2 linked regions of the Stegostoma tigrinum genome follow. Each later gene encodes a partner of the first gene's protein in a complex. Links are inferred from orthologs where the notes say so. Each region holds a gene or a part of one and is shown in the gene's direction. Other genes may lie near its edges. The genes, in order: abcc8 and ATP-sensitive inward rectifier potassium channel 11-like.

The links.
Region 2: the proteins of abcc8 (region 1) and ATP-sensitive inward rectifier potassium channel 11-like are in contact, whole or in part, in a cryo-EM structure (PDB 7S60), measured with the Homo sapiens proteins. The link is inferred for Stegostoma tigrinum from reciprocal best matches to the Homo sapiens genes ABCC8 and KCNJ11. Residues at the interface, in NP_000343.2 of Homo sapiens: Phe5, Ser12, Ala13, Tyr15, Arg16, Val17, Val21, Asn24, Cys26, Phe27, Ala30, Val33, Val34, Val37, Phe41, Phe44, Ile46, Phe48, Ile49, Gly50, Trp51, Gly52, Ser53, Ser55, Lys57, Val58, His59, Ile60, His61, His62; in NP_000516.3 of Homo sapiens: Val44, Ala45, His46, Lys47, Asn48, Ile49, Arg50, Gln52, Gly53, Leu56, Val59, Thr62, Leu63, Lys67, His70, Leu73, Ile74, Met77, Cys81, Leu84, Leu85, Met88, Trp91, Leu92, Phe95, Ala96, His97, Gly98, Leu100, Ala101.

Annotation. Positions count from the first base shown.
Region 1 is NC_081370.1:23,365,709-23,382,618, forward strand, and holds the start of abcc8 (ATP-binding cassette sub-family C member 8), read left to right. Parts: upstream 1-8,475; 5' UTR 8,476-8,943; coding exon 8,944-8,964; intron 8,965-16,910. UniProt on the Homo sapiens protein: Regulator subunit of pancreatic ATP-sensitive potassium channel (KATP), playing a major role in the regulation of insulin release.
Region 2 is NC_081391.1:22,561,111-22,577,539, forward strand, and holds the start of ATP-sensitive inward rectifier potassium channel 11-like, read left to right. Parts: upstream 1-7,394; 5' UTR 7,395-7,593; coding exon 7,594-7,610; intron 7,611-15,080; coding exon 15,081-16,350; 3' UTR 16,351-16,429. UniProt on the Homo sapiens protein: Inward rectifier potassium channel that forms the pore of ATP-sensitive potassium channels (KATP), regulating potassium permeability as a function of cytoplasmic ATP and ADP concentrations in many different cells.

The DNA of each region.
Region 1 (16,910 bases):
TTACAAGCTGGTTGCCTGAGATGGAGACTGAGAGGTCCAGGAAGGTGAGGGATGTGCTGGAGATGGCCGAGGTGAACTGAAGGTTGGATTGGAAGGTGTTGGTGAAGTGGATGAACTGTTCGAGCTCCTCTGGGGAGCAAGAGGCGGCGCCGATACAGTCATCAATGTAACGGAGGAAGAGGTGGGGTTTGGGGCCTGTGTTGTTGCGGAAGAGGGACTGTTCCACATAACCTACAAAGTGGCAGGCATAGCTGGGGCAATGATGCAATTCACAAGCCCTCAAGGTGGCAAGACCACTAATTCAGTTCTGCTGCTCAGAGGTTCTCAATAAAACCTGTAAAAATTAAGGTTGTAACTGTTTACAATATCCATACGGTGATGTACATGGATGATAGGAAATGGATTCCAAGATTTGTGGTTCATAACTCCACCTTCCGCAACACTTAACAGCTTAATGAGCCACCTTTGATAAAGCATTTTTTTTTATCTTGCCGGGTTGGTTACCTCGTAGAACTGTGTTGGTGTGATACATTCAGCTAAATCGTTTCATTCTGTTCCACACTTTTTATGTTCAATAAGTTCACCAAATATTTTAACATTGGTTGCTTAATGTTGGGAAGTAACTGTCCTTCAAAGGAATAGACTGTTGTCATATCAGGTATGGGGGACTTTTCCCCCTATCACAAATTGTTAATTTTAAATCTGAGATTTTGTTTTGTTAATCAAAGGTGTTAAGGGCTATGAGCCAAAGGCAGATATTTGGACTTAGAGGACAGATCAGCCATGATCTCATTGAATGGTGGAACAGCCTCAAGGGGCTGAATGGTCTACTCCTGTTTCTATGTTCCAAATACACCTTTGACTATTTCTCCCAACCCAAAATGGCATAGGAAAGTTGCATGTGGAGAACATTTAAGTACAATCTATGAATTAATATGCCTTAGCCAAGAACTCTCTATTGCAAAATACTATTGTATTTGATTATATAATACTATCATAAATTTAATCTTGGGTAAACAACTAAAGAAATTGATATCTTTTGCATTACATGGGTCAATAAATTGCTTCATTTGAGCTTTCCTAAAGCTATGGAATTTCAGAAACAAATACCATGTTTTTGGTGCATCAGTGGTAAGATTGACAGCTTCTGTGTTACCTTTCTCTGGCACTTTTATTTTAATATATCAATCAGAATTCTGAACAACTTTGGGGCATCTTCCTCAACATCTCCCTGCTTTTTCCAGTTACTTTATTTTTATGAAGCATCAGCATCATTGAGTAAGTCATGGATTTCTTCCTTGTGTTGAATGATGTCTCCTAATACAAGTTGAGGGAATTTTGAGTGTCCTTAAAGTGAGAAATGAATGGTTCTTTTAGTTCTGCTGTTACAATTCCTGGCCTGGACTAATATCAACTCAGTCTACTGCTAGCAGAAAGAATTGTTGTTTCAAGAAACTCGATAATTTCCATTGGCGACCAGACTTTTCTCACAATGCCTTGGATTCTAATGAGCTTTTTTGCCTCCTTCTGTTATAAAATTCCTTCACCACCACCACCATTCTTCATCCATTCTTTCCTTTCCTATCTTTTTTAAACAGCATTTACTCTGTAATTTTTAACACCCCCATTCTTGCTCTTCCGTGTCCTAGGTCTCTGTTATCGTCACATCATCATATTTCCAGATGACAATCTGCACCCGTATTTCCCCCGTCTAATTTACTACATCCTGTGCATTCACAAACATACACAATAATCCTGATTTTAAACTGAGTTCCTTTCTCCTCATTCCACCTTCACCTTTATATTTTCGATACTCATGTTATCAGTCTCTGCAAACATTTTGTGCATCCCTAGTTTCAGCTTTCGTAGTGCCACTCGATTCTTACACCCCTGCAGAATTAGTTTAAAGCCCTCCCAACAGTATTAGCAAAGGGCCCCACAAGGAACTCAGTACTAGCTCTGATCAAGTGGAACCCACCTGGCTTGTACAGATATTGTCTTCCCCAAAACCAGCCATGATGTCCCACAGTGACTGAGTTATGAAAACCACGATTCAAGTTTCTGCCACTGACAATAACTTGTGCAACATAGTTATTGAGGAAATCAGTAAGGACTATAATTTCCCAACTATTACAGGCCAATATTTCATTTGACTGAGCTGCACTGCCATGACAGAAAAGATCGCTGTAGCAGAGTAGTAGAATTCATGCCCAGGTCCTGAACCCAGTGCTCATCCACTTCCAAATGCATTTCTTTTCCTCTCTCCCTTTCTTTTACTTTTGCTATTTTTTTCATTTTTGTTCTTTTTTTCCCCCTTTATTGGTGGGAGTGTTTCCTTCAGCAGTAGGAGCCATCCTATTCTCAGCGAGCCGGTGGCAGTGTGCCCAGCTTTGAATCTGAGCCCAGTTCAGGACTCAGCGACTTTAACAGCAGCTGCATCACTGAGATCAGCTCAGCACGGACTCATGGCAGCGACAACATTGGTGGAGGCAAGATGGCACTGAACAATGGCGACATGGTTCTAGCAGCAATGGCTGGGCCCAGAGTCCTGACTGTGGAGGTGGTGATGTTCCAGCTGCAGTGGTGTGCAGGGACTGAGGGCAGCTGAGTATTCACAAACTGAGGCATGGACTTTGTGGCAGTGAGGACTCATGGTAGAGGTGGGGAGTGATCTGGACATTTCCCTTTCTCTTGGCAGGTTCTTTTTACTTATAAAGTCATAGTCATACAACCGTTCAACCAGTTCATGCTGAACATGATCTCAAACTAAACCAGTCCCACCTGCCTCCTCCTGGCCCATACCCTCCAAATTTTTCGAATTCCTGAACTTACCATGTCCACCACTTCCTCAAGAATTTCAGTCCTCATATAGACTACTGTCTGGTTAAAAAAAACATTTGCCCATCATGTCTTTTTAAAAATCTTCTTTCACCTCAAAAATATGTAATTCTGTCTTGTATACTAAGTTGGCACCAGAGAATAGTGAATTTGTATTCTTTTTCACTGTACTCCTGTATCTGTATACTGGAGAACATGTGACATAAGAATCTAAATTTAAATCTAAATGTTATGAAATGACTTCCTTTATATTAACTTTGTCTTGGATTACCTGCATTACATTATTGTCTTGGCCCTGAATGTACCGTGCTCCTGATGTTTCTCATTTCCTTTGTCCTTCCAAACCCACGACTGTTTCCATCTATAAGCACAAAAGCAGCAAATACTTGGGAACACCACCACCTGCAAGTTCTTTGCCAAACCAATAACCAACCTGACTTGGAGCTGTATCGTCACTCCTTCAATGTTGGTCAGTCTGGACCCACAGTGGATGTCGTTACACCAAATGGAGTGGACAGGTTCAAGAAGGCAGCTCACCACCACTTTCTCCAGGGCTGCTAAGGAGGGGGAGTAAATGCTGACCCAGCCAATAATACCCACATCCCATGAATGAATAAAATATGGCTAACTCTTAGAGGAAAAAATGCATTGTTATTTTACAGCAATTTAAACACAGTCACTAATTGCAGTTTCTTGGCAACCAATCACTTTACAGATTGTCTGTTTTGTCCCTTTTTTATATCCCTTTGCAAATTCAGCATGGGTCGATTGCAAAGAGCTGACTGGTATACCTCTCAGACTTCCAGATAAGTGTGCTCACAGCCTCAGATCAGGATATAAAATGTGGAGTACCAATGTTTATCTAGTTTAACAAAATTGCTATCACTTGAAGATTGTTGTGTTATTTGAGAGCAATGTGTCAGTTTTACCAGTATCTAAGGTCTTATAGTAGATTTGTAGCTTGGGTTGTGGGTGTTGAGGTTGGTTGGCTCGCCAAATTGGTTTCTTGTATCACAGACGTTTCATTACCACGCTTGGGTAACATTCTCAAAGCAGCCTCCGATGAAGTGTTGGTGTGTTTTCCCACCTGGTTTTTGACTCCAGAGTTTAAAAACCAGGCCAGAAAACACACCAACACTTCATCGGAGGCTGCACTGAGGATGTTTACCAGTATATGGAAAGATAGTGTCATTTTTTCTAAGCAAATGACATTAGGCCAGATGAAAAGCAATAAGTAATGTGGACCCACAGCTTTTTTAGTTACAAGAAGCCTAATATTTCATGCCACACCAGATAGTAAAATCTTTCAAGAGTTGATGGATTTAGTTCAGGAATTTTATGAATCTAGCTTCCTCTAATTTTAAGATGCTATCGGTTTTACTCAACAGTTCAAGGAACAGGGGGATTGTGTTGGGATTACCTGGCAGATACCAGGGATTACCTGTTTACCTGATTAGATACCTGGCAGAGACATGTGACTTTGGTTTAACCCTTAATAAGAAGATGAGAGACTATTTGGTATGTGGGATTAATGATGTGACCATGCAAAAGCACCTACTAGCTCAAGTCCAACTGGACTTCAAGCAGGCACTGCTACTGGCTTTCTCATTAGAAAATGCAGCAAGTGTAGCATATGAGTTACAGGGTGTGCCAATGGAGTGGGCATCCTTGCATGCTGACTGAGCTTGGAGAGCACCACTTGAATTAAAGCAATTGCATAGCCTCATTTGGGACCCCAGGTCAGCCCACAACAAAACTCAAAAACAAAGCCAAGCCTCAGCCAAACAGCAACCTATTGTGGTTGCTGATGGTATGCTGACTCAAGACAACAAAAGAGTCCCACTAGATCTAACGGGAGTAAGAAAACTCATAAGCCCAGTATCCAGGAGAGTACACACCCTGGAAAGTCCACCTAAATTTGGCTTGGGAGTGACCTGGACTTGAACAAGTACATGGACCATGTGAAAGCAGCAAACTGGCAAATAAGGCAGGAGCAAAACACACATAGCCCCTCAGAACATCCAGAAAGGCTATTGGAACCCATGCATTCTCTCCCTTGGTCTAGCGTCAAAGAAACCTCAGAGTCTGAGATGGACACAATGGATGTCGCAGTGTCAACACCTTTACTGCCTGAAGATGAATTTCTTGTGAGACATTCTGGATGCAAGAGGCAGGTTACAGTCTGGTACAGGCCACTTGTGTCTGAGGCAGAGTCAGAGGAAGTGGACCTAGCGTGAAAACACTCCAGGAGAGGCTTGCGAGAGAAAGACCAGATCAACATCCCCAGACAGAACATTTAAGATGATTGGTATGAAATTGATTGTGGCATTGACAGGGGGAGGGATATAATTGTAAGCAGGTCAGTCAGGTGGATCTCATAGAATCAGTTTCCTTATTGGGTCTGTTAATCTGGTCAAGTCAGGGAGCCCTAGCTGACGGATATAAACAGGAGTGTTGGAAATCCTGTTCACTCTGAAAGCTGGCTCTGAGGAAGCCAGATCAACATCAAGTACTATGCACATTTCAACAAAGGATGACTTAGTGATGGGATACTAGCCTCTGTGGAGTTATTTCACCATGAGCAAACTAAGTCTCCATTGAACAAAATGCTGTAATGTTATGCATGACATCAAATGAGAGTGTGTGTCACAGAACTAAGGATCTTTTTTTTAACCAGTGTACCACAGTATGGACCCAGAAAGCAAACGGAACAGCGAACACTACTAATTGATATGTTTACCAAGTGATACCTGATTGTTTTGGATCCAAGCCATAACAATCCATAAGGAAAATTCTTCTTGATTTCACAACTACACAACTACCCATCATTTGGCTGCAGACCTGACTCTGACTTTGCTTGTCCTCCCACCTCTATCACAATGGCTAACATGATGAAACTCATTTTCTGGGCCCAGTTTCCTTGTTTTCCACTGTCATTTCTCAGCTCCGTGACTTCAATATTAGGGCTGAGATCTATGAAGGAATGGTCACAAATGTTTTCAATGGAGAATAGGGCACAATGTTGATCTTCAGTTGATGTTCCATTTTCCAGCAGAAAGCGTCAACTCCCTAGAAAATACCATCAGAACAAAAATATGCTGCAGCAGTTGAAGCTCTCGTGACCATTCAATATTACCTTCTATTATTTATGCTGAAGTATCACCCACCTGGATCTCCCTTGCATTTACCTTGCAAGTGAAAGTAAATTGCAACTGAATTACACATTATTTTCATTCAAGTAATCTTTTCATCTTCTAATAAAAAAGATTTTAAAAATGAAAAAATGGTTACAACTTCCTTGTATCATCCTTTGGCTTGATTTCAACATTGACTTCAATAGTGTCCTGGAAAATAATCTTCAATTCCCAGATAGTCCAGGCTAATTCTAAAATGTAGGCAAGGTAACTATTCAAAGTGTGCTTATCTGACTGCAGAACATTTAAAATGATGGGTATGAAATTGATTATGGCATTGACTGGAGTGTTTTCCTGAATTATATTAAATACTTTGCAAATATTGCCCATAGTTGTAACCAATCAAAATGTGCAAAATTTACTGGGATTTATAAAAACTAAATGAATCATCTGTGCTATTTTATCTGCATGACACGAGGAGGACGTATTATCAAACACGCAACAACTGCATGTTATGCTGTGAAAAATATGATTACAGAGTTTCAGCAGCTAATCCTAGAGTTTCTATTTGAACGAAATTTGCCTGTTTGGGTCTAGGCACAAACTAGACCCTTCATCAGAGCTGATGAAAGGTCTAGACCCGAAACGTCAGCTTTTGTGCTCCTGAGATGCTGCTTGGCCTGCTGTGTTCATCCAGCTTCACACTTTGTTATCTTGGATTCTCCAGCATCTGCAGTTCCCATTATCTCTGGGTACATTTTTGCCAGGTTTAATTCTTTCTCTCTGTCTCAACTGGTACATCACTTTAAGGGAAGCTGTTGTTTAAGGAAAAGGAAAAATTATAGTGATTGTTTTAAATAGTTGGTGTTTTCAATAGCCTTGAAAGATAAGAATTTCTTGTAACTGATAAATTATCCTTTTGATGTATGATTATTCATGTGCACAAACGTTCTGCTCTACTACATCATAAAATTCAATGCAGCATTAATGAAGACTATGATACACAAATTTATTTGTAAAATGGATTTTTTTATTCAGCTGTGTTTATCCATTTCCTGTAACATAAAACTGATACTAAGATAGTGCAAATCCTACTCTAAAGCCAGTCACAAAGAAGCAAAGCAAAGTATCCTGATTGCAAAAGGAAAAGGTAGGTTTAAAAATATAAGAACATATTATTTCATTTTAGATTGCCAGGATTTCATGGCAGCAGAATTAGAGGTCTAACCTAAGACCTTGTCAATATATAGGGGAGCACACTTAATTAAATTCCCTCTGACATCTCTGTAGTCCTGCCCTCTTCTTCACACTCCCAGGCTAGAAACCATCATCGCATCGATCATATTCTAAGCTATAACCATACTCAGTGATAATGGGAACTGCAGATGCTGGAGAATCCAATATAACAAAGTGTGGAGCTGGATGAACACAGCAGGCCAAGCAGCATCTCAGGACCACTTCAGAGAGCTCTCTGATGAAGGGTCGAGGCCTGAAACATCAGCTTTTGTGCTCCTGAGATGCTGCTTGGCCTGCTGTGTTCATCCAGCTCCACACTTTGTTATAACCATACTCAGATGGTTCAACCTGCATCATGTCTCCATCTCTCTGGCTTTAACAGTTCAAATGTATACCCATTTCTAACCAATTATACTAGTCAATGCTTCCTCATTTTCTCTGTCCCTCAGCTCACCAGATCCCCTTTGGCTTCAAATCTACCCTTTAAAGGATCTCAATCTTTGAATGTTCACAGGAGCTCCAACTCCATTTACACATTCCATTGAGGCCTCCTATGTGATCCTTACAATATTCCCAACATATTCTCACCATATAATGGGGACAGGTGGGGGGGGGGGTATACTGGAAAACAGAGGGAAAGCAGCGCAGATATCAGGTGGGAAGTAAGTAATGACGTAGCCACGGAAATATGTTGTGCCAACGACCAATGAATGACTGGGGTGCTTGAACCTTAGGATCGCAAACAAAAATTCTTTTGAAGCATTTGACAGGGACCACTTTCAGTGTGAGGTTGAATTGATCTTTGTTCTGTAAGGTAAACTCTTTATAGTAATTGTACATCTAATGTATTTCTACATTTTCAACTCTGGTCTCATTTCGTTGGCTGTTGAAATCATGAAGAATAAAATGCTTCAAGAAAATGGAAAAAGGCTTGCACCCATTAAGACGTTGTATCTAACGCCTTACAAATGATTCTCTGATTATGAAGTTGGAAAATGTTCCAAATAATTGACCCAGAGGATAGCGGTAGGTTTGGATGATGAGTCTCTCGAACCGTCACTGCCTGACTCAGGTTGCGAATGCTGTCATTGTATCTGTCCGGTGGAGTCGATGTGAGACTAGATTTCGAGATGTTATCCAACTCTTGATTGGCACGATGTTGGCTTTTCACCTGCACTGAAGCGAAAGAAATACACATTCGACAAACAAATATGACATCAGATTGCACAGTCGGCTTTCCGCCTTTACCGCGCCGAGAGCTTTTAGCAAATGACTCCAGGTACCACGGAGAGCGCTCTGCTGCCTTATTTACAGTACATCCCGCGCTGCTCTCACTTCAAGCAGCTCCCGCTGAACCCTAAATGCAGCTTCCCCCTTATTACTGAGCTGTGTGTGTGTGTCCCTCCCCCACCAGCCTTTTCTTTCCGGGTGTTTGTGTGACCCACTGTAGCAACGGCACTCCAGTAATCAACCTGCACTCAGCCAAGTAGAGCGACGGCGACAGAACATGAGGCGCGGAAAATAGCATCGGGATGAAGCAATGACAGTGTCGACCTACTTCTGGAGAAAAAGATGGAGTTTGAAGCATAACAAAGCAGGAGAGATTCCGGTGATAGGTTTGACCGCCACGCGGTCCTGACCTGTTTCAATTTTCACGACCTGCTGTGCCGAATGTGCGTGAACCTCTGTAATTCTCAATGGCACACTATTCACAGCTTAAATTCGGAGCTAAAAAATGATAACCAGGTATAAAGAGGTAAGCTTAAAGCACATTTAAATGTCGTGATTATCGCACCATGGGAACCCGCATTGTATCTCCCTTCAGTAAGTGCTGCCTGCTGTGGGGTTTAGAAGCTTGTCAGAGTAACCAGATCAGGGTTCCGAAATCCAGGGTCCGGAGCAGCTGCTGCAGGCACTGTATCCGTCAGTATGGACTCAGCTCCCTTTAAAGGTGAACGTTCGGGGTTTTGTCTTTGTTTTAGCCTACACGTTTGAAGTGATCACTTGCACCGCAATAGAAGCGGGACCCGAACTGAAACGCTGAAGAGGTGTCAGCTCAAAGTGGGGTATTTTTCTCAAAATGACGTTTGCTGTGCAGACGCCGCCGGAGTAGTTGAGCCAATGAGTGAAGGGGAAGAGGAGGGACGGCAATGCTGCATCTGCGGCTGAGGGAAGGTCAGGTAATGGGATGAAGTTACCCCTTTTCAAGGAAATACTGACTCCAACGACTACGAACCCCCTTAGAGTTTGAAACGAGCACTACTAATTGCGTTGGGCAAGTGCACTGCAGTATTTCATTTCTCTAGAGCTCGGGGTCATTTTTGTTTTCATCTTCTATCGTTATTGTTTTTACTTCATTCTGTCAATATGACATATCGATGTACTTCCAAATTCACATTCTTCCAGTAAAAGAAAGACACTGGATATGAACACTATCGGAAGTACTTATTTCTTTAGGTTGTATTCTTTGTAACACCCGGTTATATTTAGGTAGATTTTACGACATATTTGATCACATCCTCAACTTTATGCTCATAAGAATATAGTGCGACAGCCAATTTGGTGTAGATTAGATACGGGGGTTACTCCCAACATCAGTATAATGTATACATCCAGCACCATGAATTTGTATACGCTAGGTGGCTCGCTGCCAGGAATTTTGCTTTGTTACACAACTGGGGTCTTGATTTTGCTTCGAGCTGTGTTTGGTCTCGATTATATCACATGACAAGGAGTCCCCTACCAGGAACAAAGTACAAACTAATCCCCTCTACTTCTGCTAGTGCAATGCTTAGAATCACGACTTCAGATGTGTAATGCGATGTGGCTGTAAACAATTCCTAACGATTTTTGAAAAAAAAGATTCTTGTAGTATACTTCACGTTAATGTCTGGCTAAGCAGCCCAAATCTTGGCAGGCATTTTACGTAAAACAACGAGCCCTTGAAAGGATGGTGAGACCTCACATGCTCCCAGCAAAACCAGCTACATCAGCAGTCAGCTAATATTTGTTACCATGGCCGATGGGAGGGTGCGTTATCCCGGCCGTTGGTGGTTTAGACGGATGTATTCAGCTGTTTTAGTTTATTCGTTCATGGGGTGTGGGCACTGCCAACATGTAACATAATGTTGCATAATTGCAACAGTGTAATTCACTGCCTTGAAAATCAATACTTAAGATCCCCTTGCAGGTTTTCCTTTCCAATTTGAGAAAGAAGGATAACTCCATAATGAACAATCATTCTATCAGCCAAGTAGCTTAAATCCAGAATCTATGGTTGACCCCAAAGCACGTTGAATTTTTATGAGGTAGCTACGTATCTGTTAGGCATTTACTGAAAACTGGAACAATACAACTGTCAAATCCCAATTAATTTTAGGGTATTTGAATCTATTGGGTAGTTGTTTTGAGTGTCATTACCACTTGTTGAAAAAGGCAATATTTGTCAATATTATAGAATTTCAGGTTATAGTTTTCAATAGCATTCACAGAAATGGGTCACATTATAGTTACAATTAGCTCATGAATTTCAGTTGGCAAAATGTTTCCCATTCAGTCAATATAAAGAGGCAAGAAATACAGAATAATTTGTTTTAATAAATTTAGTAAAGCATAACATTACTGTCCCCAACCTACAAGCCATAACAATTCATCAAACCAAATGTTTATACATCCTATTGATTACTACTAAGTTATTATTATCAATCTAATGAACACCAATATAAGGACGATGGTTTCCAATCAACATTGTGGAGCACATATATCCAAAGAGTGATGTTAGAAATGAAAAATACAAACTACCGTCTATTGGTAGGAAGATTAGATTCTCATGTAAAAAAAAAGTTACTGCTCCGCCAGTAAGTTCGCATCCAAGCTGGTCACAATTCTGACTTGCAAATATATTGCCTTTCCTCCTGATTTAATGGATCAGAATCCTGGACCTCCCTGCCTAATGCTATTGTGGATGTACCAAATGGAATGAAATAGTTCAGGTAGATAGCTCACCAATATCTGCTCAAGAACAACCAGAAATAACCTCTAAATATTGACCAAGTCAGCAACATCAACAGACCATGATTGAATTTAAAATAAAATAGATTTACATTACAAATAAATGTTTTGAATCAGTAACCAGAATAAAGTAGTTATTTCCTGTAGAGACTAGAAAGCAAACTGCTAAGATACAGAAATGAATTTGCAATAATATTCGAAGCCATTGTTCCTAGCTATTTTGGTTTTTTCCCTTATCACCTTAAATACATATTTTTGCTCTAGGTCTTTGCGTTCACTTCTGTTTTGATGTTAGCTAGTTTTCCATCAGCTGTTGCAAACATTTATATCTATTATACAAATAAACCTACTGGTAAATAGTCAGTTATTAACTTTGCAGCTATAGATACAAGATATAGACCAGGAGTCACATGGCTGGGAGAATTTAATGGTGCTGTAAATTAACTTCCTAATTATTATTGAATTTTTGCATTAATCCAGCAACTTAAAGAATACAAGTTAATTTTACATTGCTTGAAAATAGTATTGCATAGTACATATTGATGTACTAAATGTATGCATCACATGTAGAAAGAAGTAGAAATTGTTTTTACTATTATTTCTTTTTTTGGGTATGTGAACATTATAGTGGTGAGCTCTCTTCTTGAATTAATTCAGATTAACCAGTGTAGATACCCATAGTGTTGTTATGAAGGGAGTTTGGGATGTTGGCCCAGCACTGTGGATACAGAGTTTCAATTAGAATGACGTATGTTTCAGAAGGGAAACAGGTGATGATGTTCCCATGTATTTGCTTTCTTGTTCTCCTTGGTGATAGAAATTCCAGATTTGAAAAGTACTGTTGAAAGAGCCTTGTAGAGTTGCTGCAATGCATCTTGTGCATGTTTCTCATCGCTACCACCATACATCATTAGTGGAAGCACACAGATTTTTTTTGCTATGGTAGAAGAGTTACTGATCAAATGGGTTATTGTGCCCTTAAATGTGTTAAGCTTCAGGCAAATTCTTAGAGGTACTCTTAAGTAGGAAAGCGGAGATTATTCCATCACTTTCTTGACTTTTGCCTTGTAATGGTAGGCAGGCTTTCGGGAGCTGGTTGTGTTACTGGCCACATAATTTTGACGTGTTCTTGAAGCCACAGTTATTTATATGGCTTGATGAAATACAGTTCTGTGAGTGGTAATCCCAGGGTATTGATGGTGAGGATTTCAGGGCTGGTAATGTTGTTAAATGTCAAGGAAGATGGTTGATTCTCGCTTTTTGGAGATGGTCATTACCTGACTTTTGTGCGCTAGGAATATTACTTGCCACTTATAAGCCCATGACTGAATGTTATGTAGGATTTGCTGCACATGAATAAGGATCACTTTAGAATCCGAGGAGTCATGAGTGGTGATAAACTGTACAATTATTAGCAATAATCTGTATAACTGACTTTAATATAGCTTGACGTTCATTGTTAAGCAGCCAAAGATATTGGGCAGAGGACACTATCCTGAGTGATGCCCTGGGACTGAGGTGATTGATATCCAACAACCACAACTGTCTTTCTTTGTTCTAAGTATGACTTCAACCAATGGAAAGGTTTTCACCTGATTCCCATTGACTTCAGTTTTGCTCAGACTCCTTAATATCGTACTTAGTCAAGTGCTACCTCAATGTCAAGACCAGTCACTTTTACCTCACTTCTCGAGTTCTTCACTTTTACTCACATTTGTACCAAGGTTGTAGATGGGTTTGGAGCTATGTGGCCATAGCAATATACAAACTAAGCATTAGCCATTTAGTTATTGCTTCATAAATCCTGCGTCATAACATTGCTAATGACACTTTCCATCACATTATGATTGAAAGGAGATTAAAAGGGTAGAAATTGACTGAGTTAGATTTGTTCTGCTTTTTATGAACTGGGGAAATTTTCTCATTTGGGTAAATGCCAGTTTCGTTACTACCTCAATGGCTTTGCTAGAGGTCCGCCTAATCTGAAGCAAATCATTAATATTACTACCGTGACCCAAAGCTATTGCTGCACCAAGCCTTCACCTATTGCTTGTGGAGTGAATCAAATTGGCTGAAGATGATGGGCAACTGAGGAGGCGACCAAGTTGCAAGACGAATCATCCACCCAGTATTTCTGGCTGAGATTATTGCACTAATGTGCTGGACTCTGCCATCCTTGCAGATGGAGAAGTTTGTAGATCTAGTTTTTTAACTAGTTGTTTCATTGTCCGGCACCATTCATGCTGCTTGTCATGTCTGATGCTGTAACTTCTCTAGGTTGGCACCTCATTTTGAGAATTTTTAGATATGCTTTGTGCTGCTCCTGGCACGGTCTCCAGCACTCTTTGTTGAACCAGAGTTGATCCCATGACTTGACTCTAATGATAGAGGGGGGGCAATGCCAAGTGATGAGGCTATCTTTATAGCTGAATACAGCTCTGCTGCTGCTGATGGCTACACTTGTTCACGGATGCAAGATTCCAGTTCCTAGATGTGTTCTGAATCTGTACAGTTTAGCATAGTGGTAATATCACATAATATCATAGAGGTTGCCTTCAGTGTATGGTGATGGGACTTAATTTCCATGAAGGACGTTAGAGTAATCATGCCTATTAATACTATTGTCATCCTGCTGATGTATTTTTGATTTTAGATTGTATCAACATTCTTTTAGACACGGTCAATAATTGAAATGTATCAACAATTTTATATGTGAGACAACAAATTAGACTTCAACAGCTTACTCGTCTCAGGAGAATGTATTTAACTCCCAGTCTTTGCACCCTCCTTTGGGTTCTGTCTCATTTTAATTTCAATAGTAGCTTCTAATTAATGAAAATCCAGCTGCTCGTAAATAAATTTGAGACTTTACCTTATCTCTATTAGCTGAAGCTGTACAAAATGTTAAAATGAACTCAATGATTCCAGATAATTTACACCCTTGGGCAATGATCTTGAATTAGTGAGAATTAGAACAAAATAGTTGCCTGCTAACAAAAACAACAAAATGTTCACATGAAATTGGTGAAAATCTTCTATTCAATATGACATAAAGTGGCATTTGGAATGTTTTGAAGAGGTCTGATATTGACAATTATTAAACATTATACTCTGCAATTTATTCTGTCTTCTGTAATGTGCAGACTTTAAAAATCTAAGCTTGACAACTAATCACAAGTTGCTGACTTATTGCATTGTTTTCCATTGTGTTCAATCTTAGCAATATTTTGCAATTCAATCATCCTTTAGTTGTCTTTCTCAATTTAATGAAAAGAGGAGAAAGATGTAACTATCTGATTATCTTGAACAAAAAATGCAACATTTCATGGGCCATTAATTGTTAATTTGTAGTGAAAACACAAACAAAATAAACATGCCCAAAACGTAGTGATAATGTAATACACAAGTGATGCGATGGCATTTTCAGGATTATGAAATGAATTAACAAAACTGATTGAAGCAAATTTTTCATTGTGGTGGTTGGTCTTAATATCAATGGCCAGAGCTTGGGTAGTTAAGAACAAAAAGATTCTAAAAAAAGGGAGACATATTTAATTTAAAAGTTATTGATTATGTTAAGCTATTGGAATGGACAACTGAACAAGTATCAGTGGCAATTAGACTGTTTCTGCTTCCACCTATCAATGCCTTTGGAGACTTCAAGCATCGACTATAGATATCTTTCCTATTTCTCATTTGCATATTGCCGCTTGGCAACATCACTCAATGACATGCAATGAGTCCCATGTACATGCCCTGTTCTACATTGCCATCTCCTTCTTAACCCCTCCAATGCTTTGAGACGTCAGTCTCTCCGACATCAAGACCCAGATAAGATAAAATTGCCTCCAGTTCACCTTAATTGGGAAAAGCAAAATGGTTGGCTTTTTGAAACTGCCACTTATCCTATCTACATACTGACCAATTGTCTGGAAACACAGGCTACGCATCACCTTCAATTATATTTCACCTTGAACTGAACTTTTGTGTCCTCCCCTTTACCAAGCCCTTCCACCTTAACTTCTGTAAAATACTACCTATTTCTGCCCCTCATTCAGTTCATCAACTGCTGAAACTCTGCATTATTTTCAAATTCAGTTATTCCAATGTTCTGACTACCTTTCATTTACATCATCCTGAAAATTAAACCTACTCAAAGCTCTGCTTTACCATATTTTAACTCATTTTAAGAATCTTACATTCACTGTGCTGTTCGCATTTCACCATACTGATCCCTGACCCATGAATGCCTTGACCTTAATTTTCTTACTCTCACCCCTCCCGATCCTGGAGTCTCCTCCAGGTCTGGAAATCACTGAGAATTCTGTTTCTCCAACTCTGGTTCATGCTCATTCATTTTTTACAATTCACATTAAAGGCTATCTCTTTGGCTGGTTTGGTCCTGTTTTAGCTAACACCAACTTGATTTGGAACTATATTGTCATGTTTCATTGCCTCGAGGTCAGATTCTTGGAAGTCCCTTTTTAATAGCATCATGGGAGTACCAACAGTCCAAGGACTTCAATGGTTCAAGGACACAACTGACCACCACTTTGTCAAGGGCAATTAGGGATAGTCATTAAATACTAGCCAGAAACAAAATAAAGAAATGCACATACCCATCATGACCAGCGAACATTTAAAGCACTTTATGGCCAAGTAACTACTTGACGTGTAGTCATTGCTGCAATGTAGGAATTGCAATAGCCAATTTGCAAAGAGCATGAAAGATATCTGTAAACAATGTGATAACGACCAGACAATTGGTTCTTTATGTGACGTTTGTATTAATCAGCACACCAGGAACAACTCTTCTACTCCTCTTCTGAATAGCATCTTGGAATCTTTAATGCAGTCATATAGCATGGAAATAGACCTTTTCGTCCCACCAGTCTACACTGAACATAATTTCAAACTGAACTAGTCCAAGCAAGCCAGGCAGCATCTGGAGGAGAGAAGTCAACGTTTCCGGTATTACCCTTCTTCAGGACTCGATATGAGTGTGGGGGAGCTGCAGATAAATGTGGGGCAAATGGTGGAGATGGAATGGTGGTGATAGGTGGACACTGGTAATAGATATGACCTGGTTGGCCGATGGCTGGGATGAATTGGTTGGTGGCTGGAAGGAAAGATTAGAAAGTGAACTGGAAGGGAGGAGGTGGGGCTGGAAGGGGAGGCCTGGAATGAGTGGTAAGGTTATTTGAAATTGGAGAAGTCAAGGTTGAGTCCTCCCACCTGTAGTGTGCCCAGGCGGAAGATAAACTGTAACTCGGAATGCAAAATTGGAGAACAACACCTTGTCTAAGTGTCTTTTAAATATTAGAACTGTGCCCTGGTCCACCAATTCTTCAGGAATGTCAACTCCAGCTAGCAGTTGGACTTCAATTAAAAGTCCCCTATGACAGGGGTTATCTCCAACAGTGCAGCACACCCTCAGTGCTAAATTGGATTGCCAGCTTTTTAACTTTGTACTCAAAATCCTACAGTAAACAAATCCCTATACCTTAGCAGCGTTATTAAATATTTCTTATTTGGTTTTTGAAAATTACATTAATGCCAATCTCGTTGAAACATCGTGAGGCATTAAACAGTGTTTCATGGGTTAAAGGCACTATATTATGCAAGCTTTCTTATGGAGATCCAGAAAACAAGTAGGTGGAACAGATCCCTGACAAGGTTTTGTTTAGATCG
Region 2 (16,429 bases), on another chromosome or scaffold:
TGGTAGTGGACAGAAAATATTCAACATTGTGCTCAGTTACGAGTGGTGTACCACAAGGATCTGTTCTCTTCTATTTGTGATTTTTGTAAATGATTTGGATGAAGGAGTGGAATGGTGGATTAGCAAGTTCGCAGATGATACAAAGGTGGGTTGCATTGTGGACAGTGCGGAGGGCTGTTCTAGGTTACAAAGGGACATTGACAGGATGTAGAGCTGGGCTGATAAGTGGCAGATGGAGTTTAACCCTGAAAAGTGTGAGATGATTCATTTTGGAAGGACAAATCTGAAAGCAGAACACAGGGTTAACGGATTCTTGGCAGTGTGGAGGAGCACAAGGATCTTGGGGTTCATGTTCACAGTTCCCTGAAAGCTGCCACCCAGGTGGATAGAGTTGTTAAGAAGGCGTATGATGCGTTAGCTTTCATTAATAGAGGGATTGAGTTCAAGAGCTGTGAAGTTATGCTCCAGCTATACAAAAGCCTGGTTCGGCCATCTGGAGTATTGAGTCCAGTTCTGGTTGCCTCATTACAGGAAAGATGTGGAGGTGTTGGAAAAGGTGCATTGTAGATTTACCAGGATGTTGCCTGGAATGGAGGGAAGGTCTTACGAGGAAAGGTTGAGAGAGCGAGGGCTTTTCTCTTTGGAACGATGAAGGATGAGAGGTGACTTGATGGAGGTGTACAAAATGATCAGAGGTATAGATAGAGTGGACAGGCAGAGACTTTGTCGTAGGGTAGGGGTAGCTATTACAAGGGGACATAGGTTTAAAGTGAGTGGAGGTAGATATAGGGGAAATATCAGAGGTAGGTTCTTTACTCTGAGAGCCGTCAGGGCGTGGAATGAATTGCCAGAGAGGGTAGTGGAATTGGCCTCATTTGGGGCATTTAAGCAGCTATTAGATAGGCATATGGATGATAATAAAAGGTAGGGCTGGAGGTTAGATAGACCTTGGGATTAGGATAAAAGTTTGGCACAACATCATGGGCTGAAGGGCCTGAACTGTCCTGTTCTATGTTCTAAGGTGAGGGAGCTGGTCGTTGACTTCAGGAAGCAGAGTGGAGGGCACGCTCCTGTCTGCATCAAGGGGGCTGAGATGGAGATGGTCAAGAGCGTCATGTTCCTGGGAGTGACGATGTGTCCTGATCCACCCATGTCAACGCAGTTACCAAGAAAGCACAACAATGTTTGTGCTTCCTCAGGAGGCTAAGGAAATTCAGCATGTCCCTAAAGACTCATACCAATTTTTATGGATGCACCGTTAAAAAGCATCCTGTCTAGATGCATTGCAGGTTGGTATGGCAACTGCTGTGCCCAAGGCTGCAAAAACCTACAGACAATCGTGAGCACAGCTCAGCCCATAGCGCAGACCTGCCTTCCAACCAGTGACTCTGTCTACACTTCCTGCTGCCTCGGGAAGGCAACCAACATAATGAAAGACCCCTCCCACCCTGATTATACTCTCCTCCACACTCTTCTGTTGGGCAGAAGATGTAAAAGGTTTAATACACATGTGAGTAGATTCAAGAACAGTTTCCTCACTGCTGTTATCAGACTTTTGAACAGACCTCTCAAATGTTAATTGTGACCTCGCCATCTGCACCTCCTCAATGTCTATAACATTGTTTTGCAACCCTGATGCACTTTGTATGGTATGATCTCGCTGTATAGCACGCAAAACAACACTTTTCACTGTATCCCAACACATGTGACAACGATGAATCGAACTCAAACTCAAAATCTATTTTAATTTTCTGTACTTAGGTCTGTTGCCAGTTGCTTGCCGGTCCAAAGTGCAATGCCATGTTATTCTTACAGGTGGCGCTGCCACAGTGGAGCCCACTACTACCCCCACTAGGGCTCATGCGGTACTGCAAGGACAGAAGCCACAGCTGAAGGTGTGTTTTACAATGCAGTTCCACCATGCCCCACCGTTTCAGTTAAAGAAATGTTTATTGCTCCACCATTGGTGGTCATGGCCTTCAAGTATCAAGGCCCTCAGCTCCAGAAATCCTTCTCGGCTTCTCTGTCTCTTTTAAGATGCTCCTTGACAAAGTGCCCTTTCATCTCCTTTATGTGGCTTGTTTTGTATGTTTTGCTTTCTATTCATTTGTGGGATGTGGGTAACGCTGGCTGGCCAGCATTTCTTGTCCATCCCTAGTTGCCCTTGAGGAGGTGATGAGCTGCCTTCTTGAACCGCTGCAGTCCTCCTGGTGTGGGTTGACCCACAATGCTATGGGGGAGGGAACTCCAGGATCTTGACCCAGCGACAGTGAAAGAAAGCGATATATTTCCAAGTCGGGATGGAGAATGACTTGGAGGGGAACTTGGAGGGGAACTTGGAGGTGGTGGTGTTCCTATATTTCTGATGTCCTTGTCCTTCTAGATAGAAGTGGTTGTGGGCTTACAAACTGCTCCCTAAGGATCTGTGTTGAATTTCGGTAGTGTATCTTGTAGATAGTGCACGCTGCTGCTACCGAGCATCAGTGGTAGAGGGGTTGAATGCCAGTGGACGTAGTGCCAATCAAGCAGGGGCCACTTTGTTCTGGATGGTATTAAACTTCTTGGGTGTTGTTGGCGCTGTACTTATCTAGGCAAGTACAACAGTCGCATTTTGGGCGTAGTGGCACAATATAAATGCAAGTTGTTGTTGTAAAGGGCAAAGCAGCTGTTTCTGGGCTACAGGGTGAAGGTTTCACTTTAACATCCTTCAGTCACACCTTGACCAGCATCTGTACAGAAAAAAGTGCTTTATCATCAGTGTGTTGGAGAAATTGCTTCATAGCATTGCTAAACTTGTGACGTGAACCCAGCCTAATCCTGTAATAATAAATCAGCTGTGATAATTAGAAGGTACATGGTGAATAAAAAGGCTCCACATTCTTCAAATACTCTTCAGTGAGTAAATCACACAATTTCCCTCTTAGTTCCATAAAGATGCAGTTAGTCTGAGATCATCTCCAAAAATCTGGGGAGACATTGTTCACGACAGCCTGAATTTTAGATACATTTCCAAAAGGATAGGTGCACTTAAACTCCAAAGACAGACAGGTTCCATTAGCAAATCACAGTGCAGGGGTCTATTCTCTCTTTTGGTTTGTGTAATCAGCTTCTTACGACACACATCTGGAGCAGGTCAGATTTGAATTTGGAGATAGGGACACTGTCATGGTGCCACCAGTCTCTTTTTAGGTGACGGCAGCCACACTAGCAGAGATCTAACAGGATCCCTGGATTATAATTAGCCACAAGTGATCATAGTCCAATGACAACAAAAGATGCTGGAGATCACAGCGAGTCAGTCAGCATCGATGGAGAGAAAGCAAGCTAATGTTTCAAGTGTGGATGACTCTTGATGAAGATCTTCAGCTTTTTTATTTGTTTTCAGTTCAGTTTTCAGCAGGTGCAGTAATTTGCTCCGACATTGTGTATGATCCAACGACACATCTTCTCTACGGAAAATCATCAGACAAGAAAAATAGGGCAAAAGGTTTATGATACTTGGCTAAAGAATCAGAGGGAGGGGTGTAGTGTTCACATGTGCTGTCTTTGTGAATCTGACACTGCTTACTATTGAGGCCCACGGTATTTGATTGATTAAACCTCACTGTGGACTCAGACAGAAGTTAAGAACCTGGGGAAAGGGAAGGCAGATGCAGTGACAGTGGGATGCAGTAGTCTCTGAGTTCAAGCCTCACGGCAGGACTTGCTGGCTGTCGTAAGAGTGTTTGTAACTTCGCCAAAAAGTTTGACTGTTATTTGGCCCATCAAGTCCACTCCATATCATGGCTCATAAATTTCTCAATCCCATTTTCCTGTTTTCTCCCTTAATCCCCTTACCAATCAAGAACCCATCTGTCTTATTTCTTAAAGACAGTTAATGATCTGGCCTCTGCAGCCCTCTGCACAATAGGTTCACCATTCTCTGCCTGACAAAAATCCTCCTCATCTCAGATATAAAGGATTGTCCCTTCACTCTGAGGCTGTGCCCTTGGGTCCTGGTCTGTCCGAACAGTGGAAATGTCTTCTCCATGTTCATTCTATCCAGGCCTCTCAATACTCTATAAGTTTCAATTGGATCTAAACTCCATTGAGTACAGACCCAGAGTCCTCAACTGCTCCTCATATGACAAGCCCTTGATTGTGGGGTTCATTCTCATAAACCTCCTCTAGACCCTCTCCAATGAACAAAAGAACATAAGAACCAGGAGCAGGGGTGGGCCATCTACCCCCCTCGAGCCTGCTCCACCATTCAACAAGATCATGGTTAATCTTTTCATAGACTCAGCTCCACTTACCTGTCCACCCACCATTACCCTTAATTCCTTTATTGTTCAAACATGTATCTATCTTTGCCTTAAACACATTCAATGAGGAAGCCTCAACTGCTTCACTGGGCAGGGAATTCCACAGATTCACAACCGTTTGGGTGATAATGTTCGTGCTGAACTCAGTCCTAAAACTGGTCCCCCTTATTTTGAAGCTGTGCCCCCTCGCTCTAGTTTCACCCACCAGTGGAAACAATCTCCCTGCTTCCATCTAATCCAATATTATATGTTTCCATTCAGATCCCCGAACTCTTCAAAATTCCAATCAGTATAGTGCTAGTCTACTCAGTCTCTCCTCATAAGGGAACCCTCTCAACTCCAGAATCAACCTAGTGAATCTTCTCTGCACCCCCTCCAGGGGCAGTACAAACCACTGGTGTATGTTACCTCTCAATGTGGACCCAATCTAATGGTAGTACAAGGCCCAAATTGCTGGAGAAACTCAGCAGGGCTGGCAGCATCTATAGAGAGGAAACACTGGACAGGAAATGTTAACTCTGTTTCTCTCTCCACAGATGCTGCCTGACCTGCTGAGTATCTCAAGCATTTTCTGTTTTTGTCTGTTTCAGGGCAAAAGACAGACAGATTGAGGGAACGTTCCACTAAATCTGTGTTGTCCTTCTCAGTAAAAGATTGCATGATTCGGATGAACAAGAGGGGCAGTGCCTTGAGAAAAGACTGATAAATAGAACAGGAGCACCAACATAGAGCAGGTATTTTAAAACATCATTTCTGTGTAGCTTGGAGAATATAAAAGGCACATGGAGGGGGGAGTGAGGGGGATATCTATTATCTACCACAGTGAGTTGTTCCAATCTGGACTGTGCAGTTTGAAAAACTCAGTGGAAGCAGACTGAAAAGTAATGACATTCAAGGAAGTTAAGAAGCAAGGGATGGCACAGTGGCTAGCTCTGCTGCTGAACAGCGCTAGGGACTGGGGTTCGATTCCACCCTCGGGTGACTGTCTGTGTGGAGTTTGCACATTCTCCCTGTTTCTGTGTGGGTTCTTTATGTGTACTCCAGTTTTCTCACAAAGAGCCCAAACCTAAAGGAGTGATAATGGGAACTGCAGATGCTGGAGAATCCAAGATAACAAAATGTGAGGCTTGTTGAACACAGCAGGCCCAGCAGCATCTCAGGAGCACAAAAGCTGACGTTTCGGGCCTAGACCCGTCATCAGAGAGGGGGATGGGGTGAGGGTTCTGGAATAAATAGGGAGAGAGGGGGAGGCGGTCCGAAGATGGAGAGAAAAGAAGATATATGGAGAGGAGAGTATAGGTGGGGGGGTAGGGAGGGGATAGGTCAGTCCAGGGAAGACGGACAGGTCAAGGAGGTGGGATGAGGTTAGTAGGTAGCTGGAGGTGCGGCTTGGGGTGGGAGGAAGGGATGGGTGAGAGGAAGAACCGGTTAGGGAGGCAGAGACAGGTTGGACTGGTTTTGGGATGCAGTGGGTGGAGGGGAAGAGCTGGGCTGGTTGTGTGGTGCCGTGGGGGGAGGGGACGAACTGGGCTGGTTTTGGGATGCAGTGGGGGAAGGGGAGATTTTGAAACTGGTGAAGTCCACATTGATACCCCGGGCTGCAGGGTTCCCAAGCGGAATATGAGTTGCTGTTCCTGCAACCTTCCGGTGGCATCATTGTGGCACTGCAGGAGGCCCATGATGGACATGTCATCTAAAGAATGGGAGGGGGAGTGGAAATGGTTTGCGACTGGGAGGTGCAGTTGTTTGTTGCGAACCGAGCGGAGGTGTTCTGCAAAGCGGTCCCCAAGCCAAACCTAAAGGAGCATAGGTTTAAGGTGAGAGGCAAAATATTAAAAGGGAGGTGAGGGTAACCTTTTCACACAGAGGGTGGTATGTGTACGGAATGAGCTGCTTCAGGAAGTGCTGGAGGCTGGTACAGTTACAACATTTAAAAGGCACCTTTTACATTAATAAAGGTACACGAAGAGGAATGGTTTGGAGGGATTTGGGCCAAATGCTGGTAAATGGGACTAGATTAGTTGAGAATCCAAGATGACAAAATGTGAGGCTGGATGAACACAGCAGGCCAAGCAGCATCTCAGGAGCACAAAAGCTGACGTTTCGGGCCTAGACCCTTCATCAGAGAGACCCTTCCTCTCTCTGATGAAGGGTCTAGGCCCGAAACGTCAGCTTTTGTGCTCCTGAGATGCTGCTGGGCCTGCTGTGTTCATCCAGCCTCACATTTTGTCATCTTGGAATTCTCCAGCATCTGCAGTTCCCACTATCTCTCTTAGTTGAGGATATCTGGTTAGCATGGATGAGTTGAAATGAAAGGTGCGTTTCCATGTTGTACAGCACAATCTGCAAGCCAGGTGGATTGGCCGTGCTAAATTGCCCCAGGGATGTGTAGGTAGATTGGCCATGGGACATGGTGGGCTTACTGGGATGGGGTGGGGTGGGGGTGTTTGGGATGCCGATAGGAGTGTGGACTCGATGGGCCGAATGCCCTGCTTCCTCCGTGTCAGGATTCTATGAGAGGTGGGCGGAATTACAGAGCTATGAGCTAAAAAAAGGGGAACGTTTGGATAGCAGCTAGCGCAGGTGGGCTGAATGGCCTCATTCTGAGCTGGATTATCCAATCGAATTGCAGGCTATGAAGTGAAGTGTCAATAACAGAAAGTTAAGTTTGGGACAATGTCATGGCGCTTTCTGGAAACAAAAAGATGAAAGAATATTCCTGCAAAATCTTTAAAATTCTGTGAAGAAGCAATTCTTGGAAACTCGTCTGTCAGCAGTTTCAAAGAATAAAAAGCCGATCGAGTGAGGCTCGGAATTGCTGAGGAGAATCTGGAGTTTACAATACTGTACTTCCCCTTTAAGGAGAATTCGCGCTGCCATTTGGCAGAATAAAATCCTCCAATTGCCCTTAAGCCGTCACTTTAAAGGTCCTATCTATTACTTGTTTCCATGGGAATAGATGGATCAGCTGTTTTCTTTTGTGTGACCTCTAAGGAGACACAAACCCCAGGCTTCCTCGTATTTTTGGACCAGGCTGTTCAGCAAATATCATTCCCACCCACCCCCCCCTACCCACAGCCAGGCCAGGTTCCTGATCGAAAGGGATGCTCAATCCGTAAACCTCTAGGTTCCAGACGAGCAACCAAAACAAAGCGAGGATACAATCTTTAATCTGATTCCTCTTGCATCCAAGGTCAGTGAATGTTCCGGTTTCTGGACCTTCTACTGTGCGTTCACAGAATAATACAACAAGATAAAGGGATGATCAGGGCTGTTTTACACTGACTGCATGCCATGTTTACTAAGGTAAGTATTCAGCTGATGGCTGAATTACTAACACACAGCCACAATTAGATGTGGTACTATTGCTTCATATTTCAAATGCCCGTTCTGCAGAAGGAACGGAAGGATTGCATTCGGGCAGCGTCCTTTCAGCACATTCCAGCCAAGGGAGTCCTTTAGAAGCACCGCCACTGTTCATTGCAGTCAACGTGTGCACAGCAAGCTCCCACAAACAGCAATGTGATGAACAGAGAATTTGTGTTAGTGATGTTAATTGAAGCTTGGAAGGGTTTCCCCTGTCCCTATTGTGAATGGTCCCTCGCTTGGCTCAGCTGTCTGGATGACTGGTTTACAATGCAGAGTCAACACCAACAGTGTGGGTTCAGTTCCTCTGCTCCCACACCGAGGGTGGTTTGTAACAGAATGAGTTGCCAGAGGAGGCTGTAAATGCAGGTATAGCTTCAACATGTGGACAGGAAAGAAAGGATCTGCAGCAGAACATGGCTCCTTCAGGGCTGTGTTGGAGGGTCAATGCTGTTGTATTCTTGCTGCGGTGTGCTGACCTCTACAACCTCCTGTTTGACAGACAAAGGTGTGTCTGACAGCAGCTGGGTGTTACCATTACTCCTGTGTCCACCTGCAACTGAACTCCCCCGCCCCAACTTCTTTTATTCCCCACCTCCTCTGCTGCCAAAGCTTCTCGGTCCCCAACCAGGACCTTCTTTCATCCTTTACTTGTTCAAGGTTTGTAATCCCTGATGGCAGGGACAGAACTTTCTCTCTCTCTCTATCTGATTAACGTTGTGAGAATGTTTTTCCCTTTTTATGTGGAGTTTTAAGGATTGCTTTCTGGAGGCTGAGTGTGGTATTTCACTTTGATATGTGACAGTGGTCTCTATCTATTTCTCTATTGTTTCTATTTCTTTCCTGGAGAGCAGGTTTCTGGTCTTTTCTTTTAAACACTCAATTACCTTTGAAATAAAGGCTGACATTCCATTTTCCTCCCCTATTACCTGCTACACTTGGATGCTATTCAAACCATCTCCAGCTTTGCTCCCTCAAATATCTATTCCTTCAGTGTGAACAGCTGGCTATTCAACTATGTAGGTCATTGCTGGCCATCTCGATAATGTTTTCACCTGATGTCCACCTGTGTTTTTCTGTTGGGCAGTGGCTAGAAAATGTCTGACAGTTTGTGTACAAGCACGTTGGTCACTCTGCTAGCCAAAGGCCCTTGTACTATAGAAGGGAGCTCAACACATGCTGGAAGTCTTACGCTGGACTCAACATTCACTCAATATCCATTAGATTCAAGAAGCTCAACACCACCCAGAACAAAGAAGCTCACTTGACTGGCATCTATCAATCACCTGATGCACAGTTAACCATCTACAAAATGCACTGCAGTAACTCAGCAAGGCTCCTTTGGCAACCCCTTACCAAACCCATGACCTTTACCATCAGATACATGGGAGCACCACCCCCTGCTTCCCCTCCGAGGCATTCACCATCCTGACTTGGAAATATATCGCTGTTCCTTCAGCGTTTCTGGGTCAAAATCCTGGAACTCCCTCCCTAAGAGCATTGTGGGTCAACCTACAATGTGTGGTTTTTTGGGTGTTTAGGAAAACAGCTCACCACCGCCTTAGTATCATAGAATGTCTGCAGAAAGAAGCCATTCAGCCCATTGAGTTTGCGCCAGCCCTCCAAAGAGCATCCCTCTTGATGGGCCAAATGGCCCATGTCCGCTCCTACAACTTAGGTTATTTTTAAAAATGAGTTTGAAGAGGATTTGGAAGCTTACAAGTTACATGTTTCCCACATTACAGATGCGACAAGTAAAAATAAAAACACCTCATTGGCTTTGGGATGTCCTGAGGCCCAGAACAATTGGCTTAATGAAAATGTGAGTCTGTGTGACTTTTTCACACATTTTCTGAGTTTGTTTCTCTTTCTTCACCTCTCGCTATCTCTAAACAGAAGCTCTGAGGCATTGCTCACTGTCTGTCAAAGATAGAAAGGTGGAGGGACAGATGGTGTTGAGGAAACAGAGGCTACAGAAGGACTTCTGCTGGGAGAGTTGGGCAAAGAAGTGGCAGATTGTATTCCATGTGGGAAAATGTGAGATTACGCACTTTGATAGGAAGCATAGAGGCGTAGATTATTTTCTAAGTGGGAAACAGCTTCAGAAATCTGTAGCACAAAGGGACTTGGGAGTCCTAGTTCAGGATTCTCTGAAGGTTAACGTGCAGCTTCAGTTAGCAGTTAGGAAGGTAAATGCAATGTTAGCATTCATTTTGAGAAGTTTAGAAAAGAACAACAGAGATGTACTGCTGAGGCTGTATAAGCCTGTGGTTAGGCAGCATTCGGAATATTGTGAGCAGTTTTGGGCCCCGTATCTAAGAAAGGATGTGCTGGCCGTGAAGGGAGTCCAGAGGAAGTATACGAGAGTGATCCTGGAGATGGAGTGCTTGTCATATATGGGACGGTTGAGGACTCCATGGAGTTTAGAAAGACGAGGGAGGTATCTGATTGAAACTCTCAGAATACTGAGGGGCCTGGATAGAATGGATGTGGAGGAGATGTTTCCACTAGTAGGAGAGTCTCGAACCCAAGGGCACAGCCTCAGAGTGAAGGGAGAACCCTTTTAGAGCTGAGATGAGGAGGAACTTCTTCAGTGTGATGGCGATGAATCTGTGAAACTCATTGCCGCAGAAGGTATTACTTCCAATGGCCAAGTCATTGAGTGTATTTAAGATGAAGGTAGGTCCTTGATTAGTAAGGACTTAGTGTTATGAGCAGAAGATAGGAGAATGGGTCTGAGACTTGTCAGTCATGATCAAATGGCAGAGCAGACCCAGAGGGCCAAATGGCCTAATTCTACTCTTGTATCCATGGGAAAAACAGAGTGGTTATAACATGTTACATGCTAAATTTTTTATTTTAATTTCAAAAATATCTTTTGTGAATAAAAAATATTCAGATATAATATCTTTTGTGCATAAAAAATATTCACATATATATAGTCACAAATGCAATTCAATTCTGTACAATAGTATATTAAAGAAACCAACAAACACAGGAGTTTACCTCTATCCAAACAAACCAAAGGCATCTCTTAGAATGGGACTACATTTATATGCAGAGACAGTAAGAACTGCTGATGCTGGAATCAGAGATGATGCAGTGTGGAGCTGGAGGAACACAGCAAGCTGAGCAGCACCACAGGAGCTGGAAAGCTGATGTTTCGGGTTGGGATCCTTCTTCATGCATCTCTGCTGCTTTCCCCATTTCTGGAGAAGCGTCCTGACCCAAAACATGAACGTTCCTACTCCTCTGAAACTGCCTGGCCTGCCGTTTCTCCAGCTCCACAATACATTTATATGAATTTGAAGCATCAGGAGGGTCTGAAAACTGAACAGTTCCCCATTTAAATTTGGCAGGAAGGCCGCTGACAGTGATCTTTCTCCACTGCACCTTGGCGGCAGCCGCCCAAGCTATGGTGCGTCCCTCAGCGTGTAGCCCTGAACGTTGCAATGTGCTAATCTGGAACACTTAGGCTGGGTCAATTCCTTGTTCTGGAGGATGGCAAGGTTCAGGCAGACCAAAGAGTGTCTTTCACTGAGTTGACGGTGCTTGAGGTGCAACCAATGTTTGTCTTGGTGTGCAGTCCTGGGCAACAGACCGTAGAGCACAAAGTCCTGCATCACAAAGCTGCTCAGGATGAACCTCAACAAAAAACCACTTTCTAATTATCATCTTATTATGGTGTGGCATGAATAATTTAGCACGTCTCTTGGCTCACATACAGACTAATTGCTTTCAGGTATATCTTAGGTGTATCTTTCTCACATAGGACCAACTTCCTGTTTCTTTTTCTTTCGATCTTTTCTGTTGTTTTTGGCAAGTCAAGTGGCTTTCTTTGTTTGATAACTTGTTTTAAGAACAAATCAATTCCTGATGTGGCTGTAGGACTCCTACTATGTGGCAGGTGAGTCTCAAAATCTGAAACACTGGATTGACCAGAATTAATCTGATACTGAAATCTACTTGCTTTTTTTTTGTTGGACACTCTAAGGGCTGGCCTAAGTCATCAAATTGGCATTAATTTCAGATGTGTGTACCAGCGGGAAGTGATACCTATCAGTTCACCTGGCCTTGCTATTTCTTCCTGTTGATACACTAGTGGAACATCAGCTGTTTTATGTACAAAAGTAGAAGTTGCTGGAAAAGCTCAGCAGGTCTGGCAGCATCTGTGAAGAAATCAATCAGTTAACATTTGGGCCCAGTGACCTTCCTCAGAACTAGACCTGAAATGTTAACTCTGATCTTTTTCTTCACAGATGCTGCCAAACCTGCTGAGCTTTTCCAGCAACTTCTGTTTTTGTTCCTGATTTACAGCGTCCGCATTTCTTTTGGTTTTTAACTGTTTTATGCAATTGATTTATTGTCATCCCATGTACTGAGATACAGTGAAAATTGTTGTTTTGCCGTGGTAACCAGGCAGATTGTACCATACAGAGTGCAGAATACAACATTACTGCTGCAGGGAAGTCTCAGAGATAGAGATCAGAGTTAACATTAGCGAGGTCCATTCAGAAATCTAAACAGCAGGGAAGAAGTTTTCTTGAATCTGTTCATATGTGTATTCAAACTTTTATATCCTTTGCCCAATGGGAAAACATAGAACATAGAACATAGAACATAGAACATAGAACATAGAACATAGAACATAGAACATAGAACATAGAACAGTACAGCACAGTATCGGTCCACGGTGTTGTACCAAATTTTTACCCTAAACCTAAGGTCTATCTAACCTCCATCCCTACCTTATATAATCATTCATATGCCTATCTAATAGCCACTTAAATGCCCCTAATGAGGTCGATTCCACTACACTCTCCGGCAATGCATTCCACGTTCCTACCTCTGATGTCTCCCCTATATCTACCTTCACTCACTTGGAAGATAGTATAACGGGGAGTGGGATTGTCACATGTACCGAAGTACAGTGAAAAGCTTTGTTTATGAGCAGTACAGGCAGATCTGAGGAGGCAAGGATGTGCAGATCGTAAGGTGAAAAAAATACTTAGAGGCATACAGGTTACGTTGCGCAGGGTGTGGGCTAGACAAAATCGACATTAGCAAGATCAGTGTTTCGTGAAGCCAGAAAGTCCATTTGTCAGTTTAATAATGGGCGGGAAGAAGCTGTTCCTGAACCTGCTTGTGGGTGTGTGTTCAGGTTGAGGTTGTAGGAGGTCATTACCAGGGTGTGGTGGGTCTTTGATGTTGGCAGCCTTTCTTCAGCAGCGAGCCGTGTAAATGGAGTCCGTGGATGGGAGGTTGGCTTCCGTGATGGTCTGGCCGTGCACACCACCTTCTGTAGTTTCTTACGGTCCTGAGCAGAGCAGTTGTCATACCAGGCCATTACGGTAACTCCAATAAATTTGTTAGCATCTCCCTGGACCACTAGTAGTAGCAGCCTCTTGTTTCTGTGTTAGATCTTAAAGTTCCGGGACTGATACATGATTACAAAATCTAAACATTGACACCATATTGAGGGTATGCAGCATTGTTAGAGATACCAACTTTTGGATGAGACATTGACTGAAGAGCTCATCTGTCCTGTCAGGTGGATATAAAAGGCCCAATAGCCACAATTGGAAAAAAAATGCAATGGAATTCTTTCCAGGGTCTTGGCCAATACTTATCCCTTAATTGGTATCACTGAAATAGTTTATCATGGAGTAATGGGGTCTCTTATTTAAGACTGAGGTGTGGAGACATTCTTCCCCTCAGAGGGTTGTGCGTTTGTGGAATTCTCTTCCCGAGAAAGTGGTGGAGGCTGGACCATCAAATATCTTTAAGCCTGAGTTGGATAATAGTTTGACTAATGAGGGCTTTAAATGGCATGGAGGTAGACAGGAACATGAAGGCCACAATTAGATCAGCCATGATCTTGTTGAGTGACCCAGCAGGCCTGAAGGGCTGAATGGTCCACTTGTCCTCCTAATTTGTGTAGAATGATTGAAGCACAGGAGGAGGAGGAGGAGTACATTCACCCCACTGTGCCTGTGCTAGCTCACAAAAGCATCTACTTTCACTGATCCCAGTCCCCTGTTGCCTTGCCTCCACTACAAATCCAGGCAGTGTATTCCAGACCCTAAATACTTGAAGCATATAAACATTTTTCCCTCTGTAACTTGTTTCTTTTCCCAGTTACCTTTTTAAGTTGGTATTCTCTGGTCCTCAACCCTGCATAAATAGCAACAGTTTCTCTCTATCGACGCCATTCAGCCCCTCCAGCAGTTCTACTAAACCTTGTGATCTCCAAGGAGAACAGTCCCAGCTTCTCCAATCCATCCTCGCATTCCTTGAGTTCTTCATTCCATACTCACCTTGTGAGTTTTTTTCAGAATTGTCTCTGAAGTCTTTACATCCTTCCTAAAGTGTGATGACCAGAAATGTACACAATCCTCCAGTTGTGGTTGAACCAGGAATAAGTTAGGGTTTGTCATAATTCCCTTGTTTCCCTACTTAATGCCTCCATTAATAAAGTCTTGGATCTGTTGACTTTCTTCACCTCTTTCTATCATTCTATGCTCCACCCTCAGTGACTTGTGTGCCTATATCTTTCGCCAAGTCCTCTACTTCCATATCTCTTTTTAATTATTTCCCTTTGTTTTAGCTTGGCTCTCTTAATTTTTCTCCCTGAAGTGAATCTCTTCACACTTCCCTGTTTTAGTTTCATCAACTAGTTGTCCGCCCTTAAACTTCAGCTTGTCTATTTCCTCTTGAGGTCCCTCACCGTGCATCTCACGGTTTTGAAGTGCTTCCAAGTTTTGTCACTTGAAAAGGTGTCCTCCAGACCAATCCTGGGTGACAGGCATTGTATCAGAATGAACTGGTTGCTTATCACTGCCGTTTTGGGATCTTGCTGTGCACAAATTGACTGCCACGCTTCCCATATTGCAACAGAGGCCACAATTCAGAGGTGCTTAATTGGCGATAAAGCGTTTTGGTTCATCCTGAGATCTTGAAAGAAACCATACAAATGCAAGCTTTATTTAGCTTTTGGTCTCTGGCTTCATTTGTCATTCTGAAAGTGTTGATTTCAGTGGGGTTGGTAATGGTAGAATGCTCTAAATTTGAAGGCTCTGGGGTGAAAGAAAGGCAAAAGAATCAACTGGATGGTCATCCATGACACTAGCTGATTGCAAGTGGTCATGATGGCCTGCACATCAAAAAGCTTTGCCTTGGCCACCCTCTGAGAGATACTAGACGCATTAAGTAACGGGAAGAGATAACTAAGGGGGCAGACAAGAAAATTACAAGAGGAATAAAAAATGCACAGCTAGTCCGTAGAATCATTTCAATAATAAGTCTAGACAAAAGTGGCCATAGACGAATTGGCCCAATGACTGGATCTTGATTCACAGTAAGGCAGCAAAGGTACTAACTGTTTTATTTATGTTTGCCGTGGTCTCACAGGCAGTTGTATCCAACCACAAGAGCAATGTTGGCGAGAAAGGGAATCGTTCCTGAAGAGTATTTATTGACCAGGCTGGTGGAAGATGACCTCTCTCAGCCTCGTTACCAAACCAGATCCAGGAAAGCTCGCTTCATCACCAAAAATGGAGGCTGCAATGTGGCTCACAAGAACATCCGTGAGCAAGGACGCTTCCTTCAAGATGTCTTCACCACTTTGGTGGACCTCAAGTGGCCTTACACCCTTGTGATCTTCACAATGTCCTTCCTGTGCAGTTGGATGCTCTTTGCCATGCTTTGGTGGCTCATTGCCTTTGCCCATGGTGACCTGGACACCACTCAGGACAATATTGTTCCCTGCATCACGAGTATCACATCGTTCGCGTCCGCCTTCCTGTTCTCCATCGAGGTCCAGGTGACCATAGGGTTTGGAGGCAGAATGGTGACTGAGGAATGCCCCTTGGCAATCACAGTCCTGATCATCCAGAACATCTCGGGCCTCATTGTCAATGCAGTCATGTTGGGCTGCATCTTCATGAAGACAGCCCAGGCCAATCGAAGAGCAGAAACCATCATTTTCAGCAAGCATGCAGTAATTGCTCAGAGAAATAAGAAATTGTGCTTTATGTTCCGGGTAGGGGACCTGAGAAAGAGTATGATAATTAGTGCCACCATCCAAATGCAACTGGTCAAGAAGACCACTACTCGGGAAGGTGAGGTCATCCCCATCTCGCAGATTGACATCCAAGTGGAGAACCCAGTTGGCATCAATGCGATTTTTTTGGTTTCCCCCCTCATCATTAGCCACACCATTGATAAGAAAAGCCCACTCTATGACTTATCAGCAGCTGGCCTCCAACAGGAGGACCTTGAGGTAGTGGTCATCCTTGAAGGGGTGGTGGAGACCACTGGCATTACGACCCAGGCGAGGACATCCTATTTGCCGGAGGAGATCCTTTGGGGCCACAGGTTTGTGCCGATTGTGACCGAAGAGGAGGGCCGATACTCGGTTGATTACTCCAAGTTCGGCAACACCATAAGGTCCAAGACGCCACTCTGCAGCGCCAGGGAATTGGAGGCACAGGAGAGAAGCCAAAATCAAACGCACAATGGCCCTAACCTGCCAAAGAGCGCCTTTGGGGAAAGATATTTCACCAAGACCACCAGTGTCCCTGGAACACGCCTGAAATCATTTGTGCGTTTTCAGTCTGTAGATTCTTTGCCAGATTTGCAGTCACAAGAGGGAATTGACTCAAGGTCGTTGCTTCTCTGAATCATCTTTCCATCATTGTCCCTTCTACTCGTTAAAATCCTCACGATATTACCATCCAGACCAATCAGCCCCACTGCCA